3 linked regions of the Drosophila melanogaster genome follow. The protein of the gene in region 3 interacts with the protein of the main gene of each other region in a pairwise test. Each region holds a gene or a part of one and is shown on either strand. Other genes may lie near its edges.

Evidence for each region.
Region 1: the proteins of CG16781 (region 3) and CG4955 interact in a two-hybrid assay, tested with the Drosophila melanogaster proteins (one large-scale study listed by BioGRID).
Region 2: the proteins of CG16781 (region 3) and Chd3 interact in a two-hybrid assay, tested with the Drosophila melanogaster proteins (one large-scale study listed by BioGRID).

The regions. Positions count from the first base shown.
Region 1 is NC_004354.4:17,079,654-17,084,310, reverse strand, and holds CG4955 (uncharacterized protein), read right to left. Parts: upstream 2,865-4,657; 5' UTR 2,728-2,864; coding exon 1,661-2,727; intron 1,589-1,660; coding exon 1,102-1,588; 3' UTR 955-1,101; downstream 1-954. Other genes in the region: CG8945 (uncharacterized protein), read left to right, coding at 1-229, 331-845, 2,991-3,352, 3,442-3,631, 3,725-3,888.
Region 2 is NT_037436.4:19,445,232-19,450,915, reverse strand, and holds Chd3 (Chd3), read right to left. Parts: upstream 3,744-5,684; 5' UTR 3,668-3,743; coding exon 989-3,667; 3' UTR 678-988; downstream 1-677. Other genes in the region: CG33062 (uncharacterized protein), read left to right, coding at 4,798-4,881. UniProt on the Drosophila melanogaster protein: ATP-dependent chromatin-remodeling factor which acts in nucleosome-remodeling by catalyzing ATP-dependent nucleosome mobilization. Likely to be involved in the regulation of transcription.
Region 3 is NC_004354.4:3,461,590-3,465,934, reverse strand, and holds CG16781 (uncharacterized protein), read left to right. Parts: upstream 1-1,890; 5' UTR 1,891-2,008; coding exon 2,009-2,054; intron 2,055-2,107; coding exon 2,108-3,222; 3' UTR 3,223-3,461; downstream 3,462-4,345. Other genes in the region: CG10801 (uncharacterized protein), read right to left, coding at 3,480-3,887, 3,988-4,345.

The sequences.
Region 1 (4,657 bases), about 14 Mb from region 3:
GCACAAGTAATCCGCTCCTCCAGGCCTTGGCCACTCGAATGACCACCAGGGGAACCACTAGCACCACAACCACCACATCGCGGCCGGACGTTCCCAGGCGCATAAGCTATGACAAGTATCAGATTTGGCGTCTAAAGCCGCAGGATGAAGAGCAGGTCCGTGCACTGGAGGAGTTCAAAAAGGGCGAGGACGGCGTTAAGTTGCAATGGCTCAAGGGTCCAAGTCTCAGGTAAGCTAGACTTAAAGCTCAAAAATGTATGATGACAATCAATTTGGGGATTATTACAATACATTTTAAACCAAATCTTCTCACTCACCTCATCGTTTCAGAGGTCTTACGGATGTTCTTGTGCCACCCAAGATGCTCGTGGACTTTCAGGGCACTCTAAACTACGAGGGCATAGCGCACGAAGTGCTCATTTTCGATGTGGGCAAGGCCATCGCATACGAACTGACCAAAGAGGATTACCTACAAACCACTCGTCCCTCGAAGCCGCGTCCCACGGCACCACCGCCCATGACATGGAATCGTTACCATAATCACGATGAGATCGTCAAGTATCTGGAGACGGTGCGAATGCGTCATCCGCAGCTCGTTGAGCTCATCCACATTGGTCGTTCCTTCGAAGGTCGACCCTTAATTGTGGTAAAGATCGAATCCAAACAGACGGCGGCGGCGGCGAACAACGATGGTCTACACACCATCAAGCGACCCAAGCGGAAGCGGAAGTCGGGCCAGGCAAATGCCGTTTTCGTCGAAGCTGGTGCTCAGGGATTGGCCTGGATTGGACCCGCGGCGGCCACCTGGATGATTGCCGAACTGCTGCGACTAATGAAAACAAACAGTGAGTATATACACATATACTATTACCGAACTAGTATGTTCGTATTCTTAAACATCTATTTCACGATATTAATAATACTGGCCCAGATCATAAGTAACAATTTAGTAATACCTACAAAAGTTTTCTCTTAAAGTTTATTCAAATTGAAATTTTTGCAAATGATCGAATGGTTCGTGTTTCCAGGCAATACGTATAGTTTCGCAGTCTTAAGTCAGTTTAAGTATTATTGGCGCCCAACGTGGGGCTTCGTTGGTGGTTACTGCAACATGCGAACCAGTGTGTCGCGCATCCAGAGCACAATGGTGGGTGGTTGTTTCATCTCAGTCGGAATAGCATATCGTCTCGAGCTCAAGAAAATTGCCCGTCCCTCGCAATCCGTATACCTCGTTTTGCGGTGCGTGTGAAAGCCCAGGCTGGGTCCACAAGTGGCTGCCTTCTTAATCTTCGGCTTATGAGCACAGGTCTTGGTTTTGGATGCACAGCTCTTGGTCTTTGGCTTGGTGGATCTGTGAAAGAAGCCAATGCCACCACCTTTGGTTCTGGAACGGGCTCGATCCCGTGAATGACAGCAGGAACCACTGAGGTTGGTCACCTGCGATATGGCAAACGCAACGAGCAGCAGCCCGAACACAATGGCCACCGCCACCTGAATGTTGCGATCGGCGTTCTTCAGGTCCACCAGCAACTGGACAACATGGTAGCCCAGAGTAATCCAAAATGTTATCGTGCAGATGGCAAAAAAACTAATGGAAGATTACGTAGATTATCATAGAGTTGGAATGATCCAATCCTGGAATATATAAATATATACTCACACTAAAACACCGAGGACCTCCAATAGGAAGGTAATGAAGAAGTTAAGCTGCTCACTTCCGAAATCTGTTCCAAAAGTTCCCCGCTGCCCGGCGCCAACTTGCTTATAGCCGCCACCTTGAGCTCCTCGTAGGGCGCTCTGTACAGGTGGGCCTCCTGATCCCGTTGTCAATATTAATGGACCAGTTCCCATGGTTCCCGGACCTAGAAAGCTTCCGGGATCAACGCCATGGGCCTGACCGCATCCAAAATCACAGCCAGTTCCATAGCCACAGTCCTCATCGCATGCAACGCCCAGACTGCATCGGTTCTGGCCCAAATTAGCGGCGCCCAGACTGATGGCGAATCCCAGGGTGTCTCTGCCGGCAGGTCCAGCGGCAACTTGTTGTTGTCGCGCCGCCCAACCATGGTGGCAGGCTCCCACGCTCCTCTCACTCTCACCCCTGTTGCCATTATTGTAATCCCCGTTGGACATCATGCTGCTATACCTGTTCTGATCGTAGATGGCGTTCGGGGAGAAGTTTATATTGCCAACCATACTTTCGCTTACAGCCACGGGAGTGGTTTCAAAGCGCAGATTGCCCCCTGCGGGCTCATTGGATGTGGTTCTCGCCGAAGAGGTTTGGAACACTTCCACCATTTCCTCCGATATCCGCGTACTGTCCGAATCCCTGGCTTCAGCACTGAAGACCAAGCTAGCGTGTTGTCCATGCACCGCCGATCCCCGGGGACTGGCCGACTCCGGAATGACCATAACCCCCGGATTTACTTCTGACACTTCCGATGCGCCGGATTCTCTTAGTGGTACGATTGGTGCTCCACCTTCTTCTGGATTTTCGGTAACTTGTAGGCTGTGCGGAGCTCTTGCGATGCGAGAAACTCTTCTGAGTCGTTCGCCCAGAAGGGATGTCATGGTTGGTGCTTTATTACCGTCCGGCTGGAGGAGTAACGCTTTGGCGGTGGCAGGCAATGATGAGCCACTGTCTTCCTCTACTCCTCCTCCAACTGAAGAGTTTGATTTGGAGCACACGTATTTACGCGAGGACTTTCGGGGTCTTCGCCTCTCCATTCTGATCTTGGTCCAACTGGAGGAGAAGTGGCAAGCTGTAAAGGTCTAAAGTATACACTATCGATTTCTGGGTCTACAAATATACTGACTAACGGACTGACAAAGGGATAACTAATGTAATTTGAGTTGGGGAAAAGCGGCTACGTTGATCGGTTGAACAACGTATTTATTTTCTTAAGAGAATTAATATTTATTAACATTTATTTCATATGCATTATGTAAAGTTATGTATAAAAATAACCCATAAAACGTTTACTCAACAGAAAGCAACGAGGACGTGGAGTTCATCCGGAACACCACATGGTACATAATGCCGGTCCTGAATCCGGACGGATATGCGTACAGCCACGAGTACGATCGTTTCTGGAAGAAGTCGCGATCTCAGCACCAGACTCCACCTCCCAGTGGCCTCCTCGACTCGGCGATGACATGGCTCCAGCAAAAACGGGGTCCGGATAAGGTCTGCTACGGGGTGGACCTGGACAGAAACTGGCTGTATCATTGGGGCAAACGGGGTAGCTCCAAGGCACCCTGCAATGAGTTCTACGCCGGTCCAGCGCCATTTTCTGAACCGGAAACCAAGGCAGTATCTGAGTTCCTTATGGACTATAGGACGCAGATAAAGGTATGCTTAGAACAATATATAATTTTTATATTAACTCTCTAAAATAGATATATTTTTTGATTTATTAACTTTATTCATTATTTTTGCAGCTTTACATTTCCCTACAGGCCTATGGTCAGGTGATATCCTATCCGGTCAAGGCCAATTCCACTTTCAATTCAGAAAGATTGGATGATTTTCTGGACGTGGCGATGGTGGGTACCGATGGATTGCGCAAAAAGGGTAGTAAGTCCCGATATAAGGTCGACGCATCCAACGATCTAATTGAACAGCGATCGGGTGCGTAATATTTATATTATTTGCTTCGAAGTAGAATATAATAGAGATCTTTATCCGACCTTGCCAATCCTTTGGCTTCCTTGATTTATCCAGGCTGTGCGGACGCTTTTGCCGCCTACGAGATCGGAATTCCCTTCAGCTACACGCTCCAGCTGGCGGACAACGGAGTGCACGGTTATCTGCTGCCCAGCAGCGCCATTGAGCCCACGGCTCGGGATGCCTTTGAGATCATAAGCGGCATGCTGGACTACATATGAGGCTGGGATGCGGAGATCGGATTCCAATCGAAGACGAAGGCAGCAGGGATTTGGGGTGGGGCTACATGTGAATGAGTTTTAGTTCCTTTTAAACGGGCTTTGGTGGCTTGCGTTCCGGAGATCACTAGCCGTATTTCCGGAATACATTCTCCAATACTTTTAGCTGCATTTACGTATCTTATGCATTCGAAATTTTTTTTTTATTTCATATAAATTCCCTTAAGTTGAGATTTCCGTTTAGCATAATAAATATTATTGTTATATGTATGTATATTATAATTAATTATCAGCAATTTTTTTTTGGTAGTTTTAATCCCTTTTAGACTAAATAGTATACTATAATAAAGTCTTATATTTGATCGAGCATTCGATTGCTTCGCTTTCGTATAACATTTTGCATGGATGCCATGTAGGGAGATATTTTCAACGTACAGTATTTCTTAAGTTCTTGCCAAATGTACGCACTGTCTTAGTATTATATGCGGATATAATATAGCGTGCCTTGCCTTTTATAAATTCATTTTCTTAAATATTCGACCGTTCCCCATTTGGATATCTTTTGGGAAGGCAATATGAATAGCTTTAAGTCAATAAAATGGAAATGCAGTCTTAATAACTCGAAATTCGTTCGAGATTGGAAAATTCGTTCCAGCTTTGAAAATATTCGTCTAACCTGACAAAATGCATGTTTTAATAATGCATAAGGTAAACGTTCTAAGTAAGTATTGTTTGAAAAGCAAGAGCATACGGCGAATAACTACAATACTGC
Region 2 (5,684 bases), on a different chromosome or scaffold from region 3:
GGCCATTTTCCCATTGTATGTGATAATTAAATATGCCGGATTTAATCCATGAGCTGGTCACCGGACGCATCTAAGTAATCGCCAGGCCAGACACTTTGGGGATCCCCAGGACCTTTCACCTGCACTCTGGCACTCTGTTTTCTGTCTTTATTTCATTTTAATTACATTGCAGTTACATTTCACAATTCTCGGGGCCATTTGATGGCCGGTTTCAGGGCTCTGGCAGTCAAATCAGGCGTATGATAAATTGATTGCGAACGCATACTTATGTGCATACGAGGATGTCCTTGCTCATGCATGCATTTATGGGTACACCCAGGATAAGTGCAATCAAGATGCAACAGCAGCTCATGTGCAATTTAATTATCTTCATTTCAAAAATATTATTTTGCAGAAAGACCTAATGACAAAACGAATCCTTTTAGAAGACTGTATTTACGATTTTTCAGCATTTTTTTTCTCCCAGTGTATATTACTATATGTGTGTTGTGTTTGTCTGGCATTGAGACTTTTCTGCTTCATCCTGCGAAAGCTGGGCTTTAATAAAATTTTACGCATAAACTGCCTTTGATTGAATTACATTTAATTATTTTACCAGACATTTTGCGTGGAGTTCCTGGCCGAAATCGTTTTGACACTGCTCTTCGTTTTGTCATTTGTCTATTTTCTTTCCTTTTCCATCGAACTCATCTTTATTTGTTTCTCTGTTTTAAATTAAATAATTTGACAAACATAATTAAACACTTAAATTACTAAGAATGTTAATGATAGAATATTTACTGGGCGAAAAATTGTTACAGTCGAACAAAAAAGTAATAGTACTGCTATTACTTTTCTTATATTTTTAGTGAAGTCTTGGAGCAAAATAACTATATATTAAAGATAGCTGCGCTTAGGCAAGCTTGAAAAGTAAACTTATAAATTAACAATTTGGTTTCTGTTTCAAATTCATTTGTTGATTTGTACCCAATGGCGGTTATTCCTTATCTCACATTAATACTATACTGCTTGGGGTGGCTCGATTTGGAGAGGGATATTGATTGGAGTAGTCGATTTCCTTTCGGATTCGCTTGCCCTTTCCCATGATGCTCTCGACGTCCACCTGGGACTGCTGCGACTGCTTCTTTTGCTTCTTTGGTAGCTTCGGCTGACTTTTTCCCATCAGGTTTTCCCAGTAGAATGGGTCAGTGTTTTCAGCATCGTTATTGTAGTCATCATGCTCCTCGTGATCTTCCTTAGTGGCATAAGAAGCGACCTTAAAGGACGAAAGATACTCGTTGGCCCAAGACTCCTTCTCTTCAATGCCGCGATTGGTGCGGTCAAGCAGATCGGCCACCGCTTTGTCGTCGTAGTGAATAGCCTCACTCTTGCCGTCCTTAAAAAGATCCTCGGTGCCAAAGCGAAGGATGTCTTCGAGCTCGTCCTTTGAGAAATTTGTTGTCATGCCACCCATTCCCGGGCGCACCACAAGATGGGTGAGCATCATCTTGTGCTTGGCAACCTGCATAATGCGCTCCTCCACCGAGTTGTGGGTCACAAATCGGTAGATCATTACCTTCTTTTTCTGCCCCATGCGATGGGCTCGGGAAAAGGCCTGAACGTCGTTGTGCGGATTCCAGTCCGAGTCGAAAATAATGACGGTGTCGGCTGTTGCCAAATTGATACCCAGTCCGCCTGCACGAGTGCTCAGCAGGAAGACAAAGTGCTCCGATACGGGATCATTGAATCTGTCAATGGCCTTCTGACGTAAATCGCCTTTGATCGACCCGTCGATGCGATCGTACTGGTATCCCTCCCCTTCGAGGAAGTGTTCGAGAACATTCAGCATCTTGGTCATCTGGGAGAATAAAAGGACCCTGTGATTGTCCGCCTTTAGCTGTTTTAGCATCTTTGACAGTAAATCTAGCTTGCCGGAAGCTTTGGTCAGCGAACTCATCTCGTAAAGACCACTTGGCGAGATAGTGGCCTCCTCGGCGGCGGAGGGGAACAGGTACGGATGATTGCAGCACTTTCTCAGGTCCATCATGATGTTGAGCAGCGAACACACGCGACCGCCGCCTTTCTGATTTAAGGCCTTGAAGTTTTTGGTCAAAATATGCTTGTAGAATTTTTTTTGCATAGACGACAGCTCCACGCGCACAATGAACTCCGACTTTGGGGGCATGCTCTTCAATACATCCGCCTTAAGGCGACGGAGCATATGCGGTTCCAAGATCTCGTGCAGTCGCTTCACTTGCTCTTCCTTCGAAACGTCAGTGAACTCGGCCTGGAAGGTCTGCAGGTCGTTAAACTTTCCAGAGCTCAGGAAATTGAGCAGATGGAACAGCTCCTCGAGATTGTTCTGAAGCGGAGTGCCGGTCAGCAGCAGCTTGTAGCCGATGCGGTACTTGCTCAGGATCCTAAAAAACTTGCTCTGGTTGCTCCTTAGCCGATGGGCCTCGTCCACGACCAGCGCCGCCCAATCGATGCACCCGAGAAAGGCTGCGTCCACAGAGATAAACTCGTAGCTGGTCAGCATTACGTTAAACTTATACTGGGTTTGGTTTTCGCGCATGGTTTTGGTGGTTACCTCCTCGAAGCTTATCTCATGTTTCCGGATAACCGCTCTAGCAGTCTTGCCGCCCACATAGGTGACACAGTATAGTTCTGGAGCCCAGAGCTCCAGCTCTCGCTCCCAATTGGTCAGTGTGGAAAGCGGCACGGATATGAGGAAGGGTCCGCGGCAATGTCCCTCCTTAAATAGTGAGTAAAGAAAAACCACGGTCTGAATGGTCTTGCCCAGACCCATCTCGTCAGCCAGTATGGTGGGGATGCCTTGGCCCCAACTATAGCGAAGCCAACTGACGCCCTCTATCTGAAAGGGATGCAATTTAAGGCCAGCCTCCTTCAAGAATACTGGCTGATCCTCGTACTTCTTATTCAGGTCTATTGTGGGTGCAGGTCTATCTCTTTGACGTCCCTTATTACTGGACCGTAGTTTCTTGTAGAGAGCGATAGCCTGGTTTAGACCCGGGATACTGTCGCTTTCTCTTTCCCAGCTGCTATCGTTATAAGACAACTCACGCCATTTCACCAAGTACATAGTCCCTCCATTGGGCTCCTCACTATGATTGATAACCCGCTGGACAAGGAGCCACTCCGGCTTAATGCCGTATCTGTAGAATCGCTCGTGCAGATTGCCGTCCTGATCATCGAGCTCCTCGAGACTTGGCTCTTCCATGTCGCTCCTTCTCTGGAAGCTGGCAACCATTGAGGCATGGTGCAAGAGCATTTGACCTTCGGGAATCCATTCGCAGTGCCAGTAGGACATGCCATGCCACTTGATAAAGTACTCGCGCCGCTTTTCACCTTTAGATGTACGAAGCTCCACGCTTCGATCGAGGGCCCAGCGCCATGACAATATCTTCTCGGCTTTTCCGGGCAAGGGAATGCAGCGCGGGCAGATCCAATCGCCTTTGGGAATCGATTTCAAGGGAGGACTCAGACAGGTTCTGTGGTAAACGGAAGGGCAGGAATCGCAGCACAGCAGATCTCCTCCATCACTACAAACTTTGCAGTATTCTTCGTCGCGAAACTTCTGCTTCTTGGCATTGGTTTTCGGCCGCTTGTCCTTGGAAGCCTTGCCAGGTGTTTTCCAGTCTGGATCAGCCCCTCTCTTAGACGACATGCTATTTGAGTTTAGTTTTTGCAATCACTGATTCTGAAATGGAAATTGTCAAATGCGCGCCAGAAGAAAACGGTACTACCAATTATAATTCCAAGCAAAGAAGCATTCACACTGATCTTCCGAAATAAATTGGTCTGATGCGCCGTTTACACTTGCATCTGGTTAGGATGCGCTAACACTATTGCGAGGTAAAAAGGTGATTCTATATTTATTTATTTATTTATTTATTATTTATTTATTATTATTTATTTATTTTTTATTTATTTATTATTTATTTATTTATTTATTATTTATTTTCAGCCACTTGTGTCACCATAAAAAACCCTAGCATAATAGAACAATACGAACAAATAAATGTTTAAGTCAGGGGTCCGTCTATATATTCATTTTTTATTGGAAAATATCAACGTTTTTTCTAAACGATTCGGATGGTAAATATCGAACAAAAGTCGGCTTGCATTTATTTCGATATTATTCTAGGTATTGAACGTCGCTAATACCAAATACACTATAATAATTCCAGTGTCTTTGCTAATACCCTGTTCGCACGGGCGGGCTTGCTTTGATCGGCATTCGATAGGTAAACAATTATTAAGATCGTAAAAACTTGGGCTTGCTCTTCATGATATTATCATAAAGATAATAGAATTTACTCATGTAAAATTTACTTAATTTAGCGGGAAGTTCTCTGAAACTAAAAAATCAAGATTTTTTAAATAAATGCTAGTTTAGACTTCACATTTTGTAGAAGTGTTTAAACATTAGCGTTAATACACAGACAACAATCGAAAACCTTTCGAAATATCGATATACATATATTTAGGTAATTAATTTAATTCAAATTAAGGGAAACAGCGTAAGTTTATATGCACAATTTTTTTTTTGTTAAAAGTGCTATTAATTTTATGCTTTAACTGGATGTAAATGGACCGTTAAAGCCCAGCTCTGCTTGCTGATGCCTGCGTGTATCGAAAACCAAAAACCAGCCGCAGAGCAACGAACCCGCGACCGCCGAAACATTTCAAAGACAATCCACCAACAGCGGCAACACCGTCAACAGTCGGCCACACCACCATCCATTCACCGTCACCATCACCATCACCGTCGCCAACAGGACGAGGGCGAGGACAATGGATCAACTCAAACTCAGACCTTGTAACTGCCTGACCGCACATCCACTGGCAGAGTGGGTGTGGGTGGAATGTGAGCGGCTGGTAAGTGGGTGGCCAAAGAAGTGAGGGCCAGTTGATGGCCACATGTCACAGACATTATGGAATCATGAACTTATGCGCACCTGTGCGTGCTTGCGGGGGCGCGGGCGGTGGGCCCAGAGCTTCATTCTGGTTATATCCGTGTGGACTTGCGGTCGAGGACAGCGATTTGAGGTCCGCCTGGTGATGGTTTCGTGACTCGGCAAGGATTTCATCGGTTTAATGTGGAGCACTTAGAAGGAGAAACATGGCAACGTATCAGAAGTATTATTAACTTGAAATTATGTGATATATTATTAGTTCTATATTTTTCTATAACTTCCTTCAAGCCATAACATTCGAGCTTCTCACGCAACCATCGCCAATTAGGAGCCGGGCCATTTCAATCATCAATCAAAGTGTTTTGTTACGACTTTCATACGTCATGTACATGGCTCGGAGCCACCGCTTTTTGCTTTTGCAACCCATAGGGGGCTCCTCGCTGTAGCTCCTCCATATCCTGCCTCAGTCTGGGGAGCCAGTGATGCGGAGGTGTGACTGCGACACAACGAACGACATTTATGGTGTCGTCAAGAAGAATTCCCATTACAGCCACAGACAATCAATCACTGTGCACCGAAATCAATTGTCGCAGCTCCTATTTTCGTTTTCAATCTCATTTCGCTAAATATTTATGAGGCCAACACTTGGGCCGTTCGATTTGTAATCCTAATGAGGCGTAATTAGAAAACATTCAATTACATTTCATTGGCATCAATCAATGGCGCCCCATCCATGGCTATTTCAAGGATGACAACTTTTAGTAA
Region 3 (4,345 bases):
TATTATTAACAGTTGTGATATTTGAGAGCAGTTAGAGCCGATAAGGAGCGGCCGAAACGGATGCGAAACGAAAAGGAACGGAACGGAACGAAACGGAACGGAAACGACACACACACACACACACACACACACACACACACACATAAAACATGTTCACGTATGTGAATCGAACAAATAAAAAACGAATTAGGCATTATGATTTGAATTTTTTTTTGATTTGAAGCATGTTTTTGGGCATTCATGTTAAAGTGCTACTACAGTGCCACCGAAACGTATGCAACACATTCTTAAGACTAATGCCACACACTAAGCCAAATTTACAATGCGCACTATGGGGCATTTGGCCTGTTTTTTTTACAAAAATTAATACCTCGTAAACTATTGGAGATATTTGGATGAATTTTTTTTTATGCGTTACACATGCCTCCAGGAATATTTTGGAAAAGTGGGCGTGCCCCAACGCCGCCCCAATTTTTTTTTTTTTTTTTTAATAATATATTTTTAAAGTTTATTTTAAATTTCAATATTGTATAATTCATAACCGTCTTCCTCTTCACAATCAGCAGAGTCTGAAGAATTTTTATAAGGTTCAAATTCGCAAGCTAACATTTGAATGACTTCTGGTGGAAGAGATAGTCGCTTATGTTTTCGCCTCTTTAAATTTAGTATCCATTGCTCTGTAAAAGACATATGCGAAGCTACTAATGGTTTCTGCCTTGGCTGGGTTTAACAAAAGAGTTTTAAGTATGGTTGCAAGATCCCACAGGCCGCGCTTCCGTGCAGCTTGAACCAAAAGATGTTCGTTGTGATTCGGCGCCCTTACGAGTTCATCTGCTTGCTGTCTTCGGCCACTCAAATTTTTTAAATAATATGACGTTTTCGGGAGTCCAGCTAATATTCTTTCCTTTTTATTTTTCTCCTTTACCTTCAGGACTAGGTGTTCTTCTAACCAATTTGAAAAAAATTTTAAAAATTCATTTATTTTTCGATTGCATTTTCTCCAATTTCGCAAAAGATTGACTGAAATCATTCGTTATTATTATTATTAGTTAATCGTTCATTTAAGTCTAGCTTGCTATCAGATAAATGCCCACTAATAAAAGTGCAAATAGAATTTTCCTTCCACTTCCAGCAGGGCAGCATTGGAAATCGAGATATTGCTCCCTAAAAAATGAAATTTCTCAAAAAACCGCAAAAAACGCACATAGAGACTACCTGATATGAGTTAGGAATTGAACACACTACAACATGGATATAAACACTTACTGAAAAAATTGTTGTAGCTCTATTCAAATTTGAAAATTTTTTCAAACAACTGCATGTTGACACCACTTGCTAAATGTACAAATTGTTAGAAATAGGCGCACACAATAAACAATATATTAATAACAACACATAATAAGAACCTAAAGATTGATTATCCATTTCAAATTATACTCTCCTTCTTCTTCTTTTTAAATTTTAACACTTTGAAAGTTAAGCTAAATTTTGCTCGCAACAGCCGACTTTAACAGCTGTTATTATAACAGAGCATTGTTAAATTAACTTATGCGGGCTATATCATAACACAGTTTAACGTATTTCCAATGTATTAATACTAAAATACTTCAAATTTGCATACTTGTGAAAAACACATTATTGTAAAAAAAAAACAGGCCAAATGCCCCATAGTGGCAATGCATGAACAATACGTGTGCTGTCACTGTATGCGTAGAAATGAGCCAAAAAGTACCAGAAATGGTACCAAAAAGTAAAATTTGCAATCTTTGGACACTTTACTATCAGAGAATATATATATTTATTTTTGTCAAATTTTCGTATATATTTCGAAACATTTTTCATCCCAATCGAATTGCCTTTGCCACTTAATTCACACACTCATTCGTCACAGTCAACTCAGCTTGTGTACAGCTTTTATTGTTGCTCCAAAATTCGTTGTCCTTGCTCGTTAACTGCATTCTTTGGACTATCTTTCAATTCCGTTTCGGTGGTATTGTTTTTAGCTTCAATGGATTCAAATCAGGAGATATACTTTCAGCCGCGTTGTATGTCAGGTACAAATAGATCAGTAGTAGAAAAATTCTTGTCTTTGATATTCATAATTTAGATCATATGGAGATGCGTGGCAGCGGCGGATCGAATCCCTTATCGCAACACTCCGAGCTGTCGAATGCTGATGGAGAGCGCATCTGTTGGATATGCTTCGCAACTAGCGAAGATAATCCACATGCCCATTGGGTGCAGCCGTGCCAGTGCCGCGGTGACACTAAATGGGTCCACCAGAGTTGTCTATATCGCTGGATCGACGAGAAGCAGCTGGGTGATCGCCGGCAAACGGTGATTTGCCAACAATGCCAAACTGAGTATATAATGGTCTTTCCCCAAATGAATCCCATTGCCAGGGTGCTAGAGAAGCTGGATTATGCAGTTAGGCGAATTTGCCCATTTTTGGTGCTCGGAATGTTCTTATGCTGTATATACTGGATTGCCCTTACATACGGAGCATTCACTATCATCCAGGTGGTGGGTCAAGATCGCGCAATGCAGTTGATGGAGAATAAAGTCATCCTGCTAGTGGGTTTACCCTTCATACCGGTGGGATTGATCCTATTCCGGCTGGTGCGATGGAAAGATGCCGTCTTGAAGGCCATGCGCAGCATATATATATACATTCCGCGCAAATTGCCCTTTTTCCACAGGACCAATCAGTCGGAAGGTGCATCGAGGGACTTGGGTGACTTGGGTGACTTGGATGACTTGAGCGTCAGTTCGAGCAGTTCGATCAGTTTGCCACCAATCCAACATAATCCGTCCATCACCGAACCCTTCTACATCTCTCGTCTCATTTGCGGAGCATTTTTTCTACCAACTTTTGCCACAACGGTGGGAAATGTGTTCTTCGGTAGGCTGGACGATGCACTGCAGCGCACCATACTCGGTGGTATTGCCTATATCGGAATTAAGGGATTGCTGAAAATGTATCTCGACCAGAAGTTATATCTCCGTCGCTTAGGTCGTTGCATTTTGAACTACACCGATGAAAACGTACGGATGATTGATCAGCATACCCAGGACAATAGCAATTACAATCCGAATCAAGGATCGAATGACGATGATCGCCAGTTTGCCGGATTTAATGAGAGCATAGATGATAGCTTTAGCGTGCACACCACGGACTCTGCGGTTGGTGACGCGTCCAGCATTCAGATCGTAGTCCAATGAGCTATTATGATAAACCTTTTGGCCAGGAAGTTAGATCCATAAGTTTTAACGACTTTGGCAACGAGCATGGCTAATCACTTTTTTTGGCAATAAAATAGTGTATACATTTAAAACTTTTAGAAAACTGCAACTTGGAGATATACAATACATAGATGACGCATCATCTATTAAACAGTATATTGTTATATCTTTTAATTTAAATACATTGAATTCAAATTTTTGCAAACTGTAAGCACTATAAAATTGAATTTTATTATTTAATTGCGATATTTCCAATTGTCAAGATCCAAATGCGTCCTATAGAATGGCGCCATGGGACAGGTTCGTTTGTATGATGGACAAAAGTTGGCGTCTATGCAGCAGCGGTAAGTGTTAGTGATCTTATTGGGCACAGCCTTCAGGCTCTCCATAAAGATATCCGAATTGGTGTGCAGACGGTGGAGGAATCTCTTAAAGCTTTCAAATGTCAACTCTCGATATCGTGCACATTTCTTATCATGATGATGCGGAACTCCCTCGCAGAACACCCAAGACCGTTCCGTGATCCTTTTGTGCTCGAAGTCCCTTAACATGCGACGAACCAGTCTCGACCTTCGATATTCCGGCTGTCCAATGGCAATGATCGCCTGACACAAAAGTGTACCCTCCCAAATCAAGGAGCAAATCTGTAAGACAATTAATAATCCAGATTTATAGAAGAAAATGCAACTTTCAAATATCAATCGAATTGTTTCGTCTTCCCAAAACCAATCAACCGCTCATTACCTCCGGTAATTGGCCAATTTCGCCGATGCGATCGTTTTCGGGCATATTACAAATGGATCGACGCAACCAGGGTGACAGGAGTCCAAAACGTACTTTTTGCATCACCTTGACCGCGTGCTTCTTGCGTTCCGTCCAGGAGTAATTCAACCAGTGAAAGACGGCGAAGAAAATCTCATCCTCACTATTAACACACAGCATGTCTTGTTCCAGCAAAGTGGTCACTTCATTCACATCGAATTCGAGAAACTCCCAAGATGCCACAATTGGTAGAAAGCATTTTCGCAAACGCGATTGCATTACAATCATAATCTCCGGGCAGCGATAATCCTTGGCCATGATGTAGGCTTGAAAGGCATTT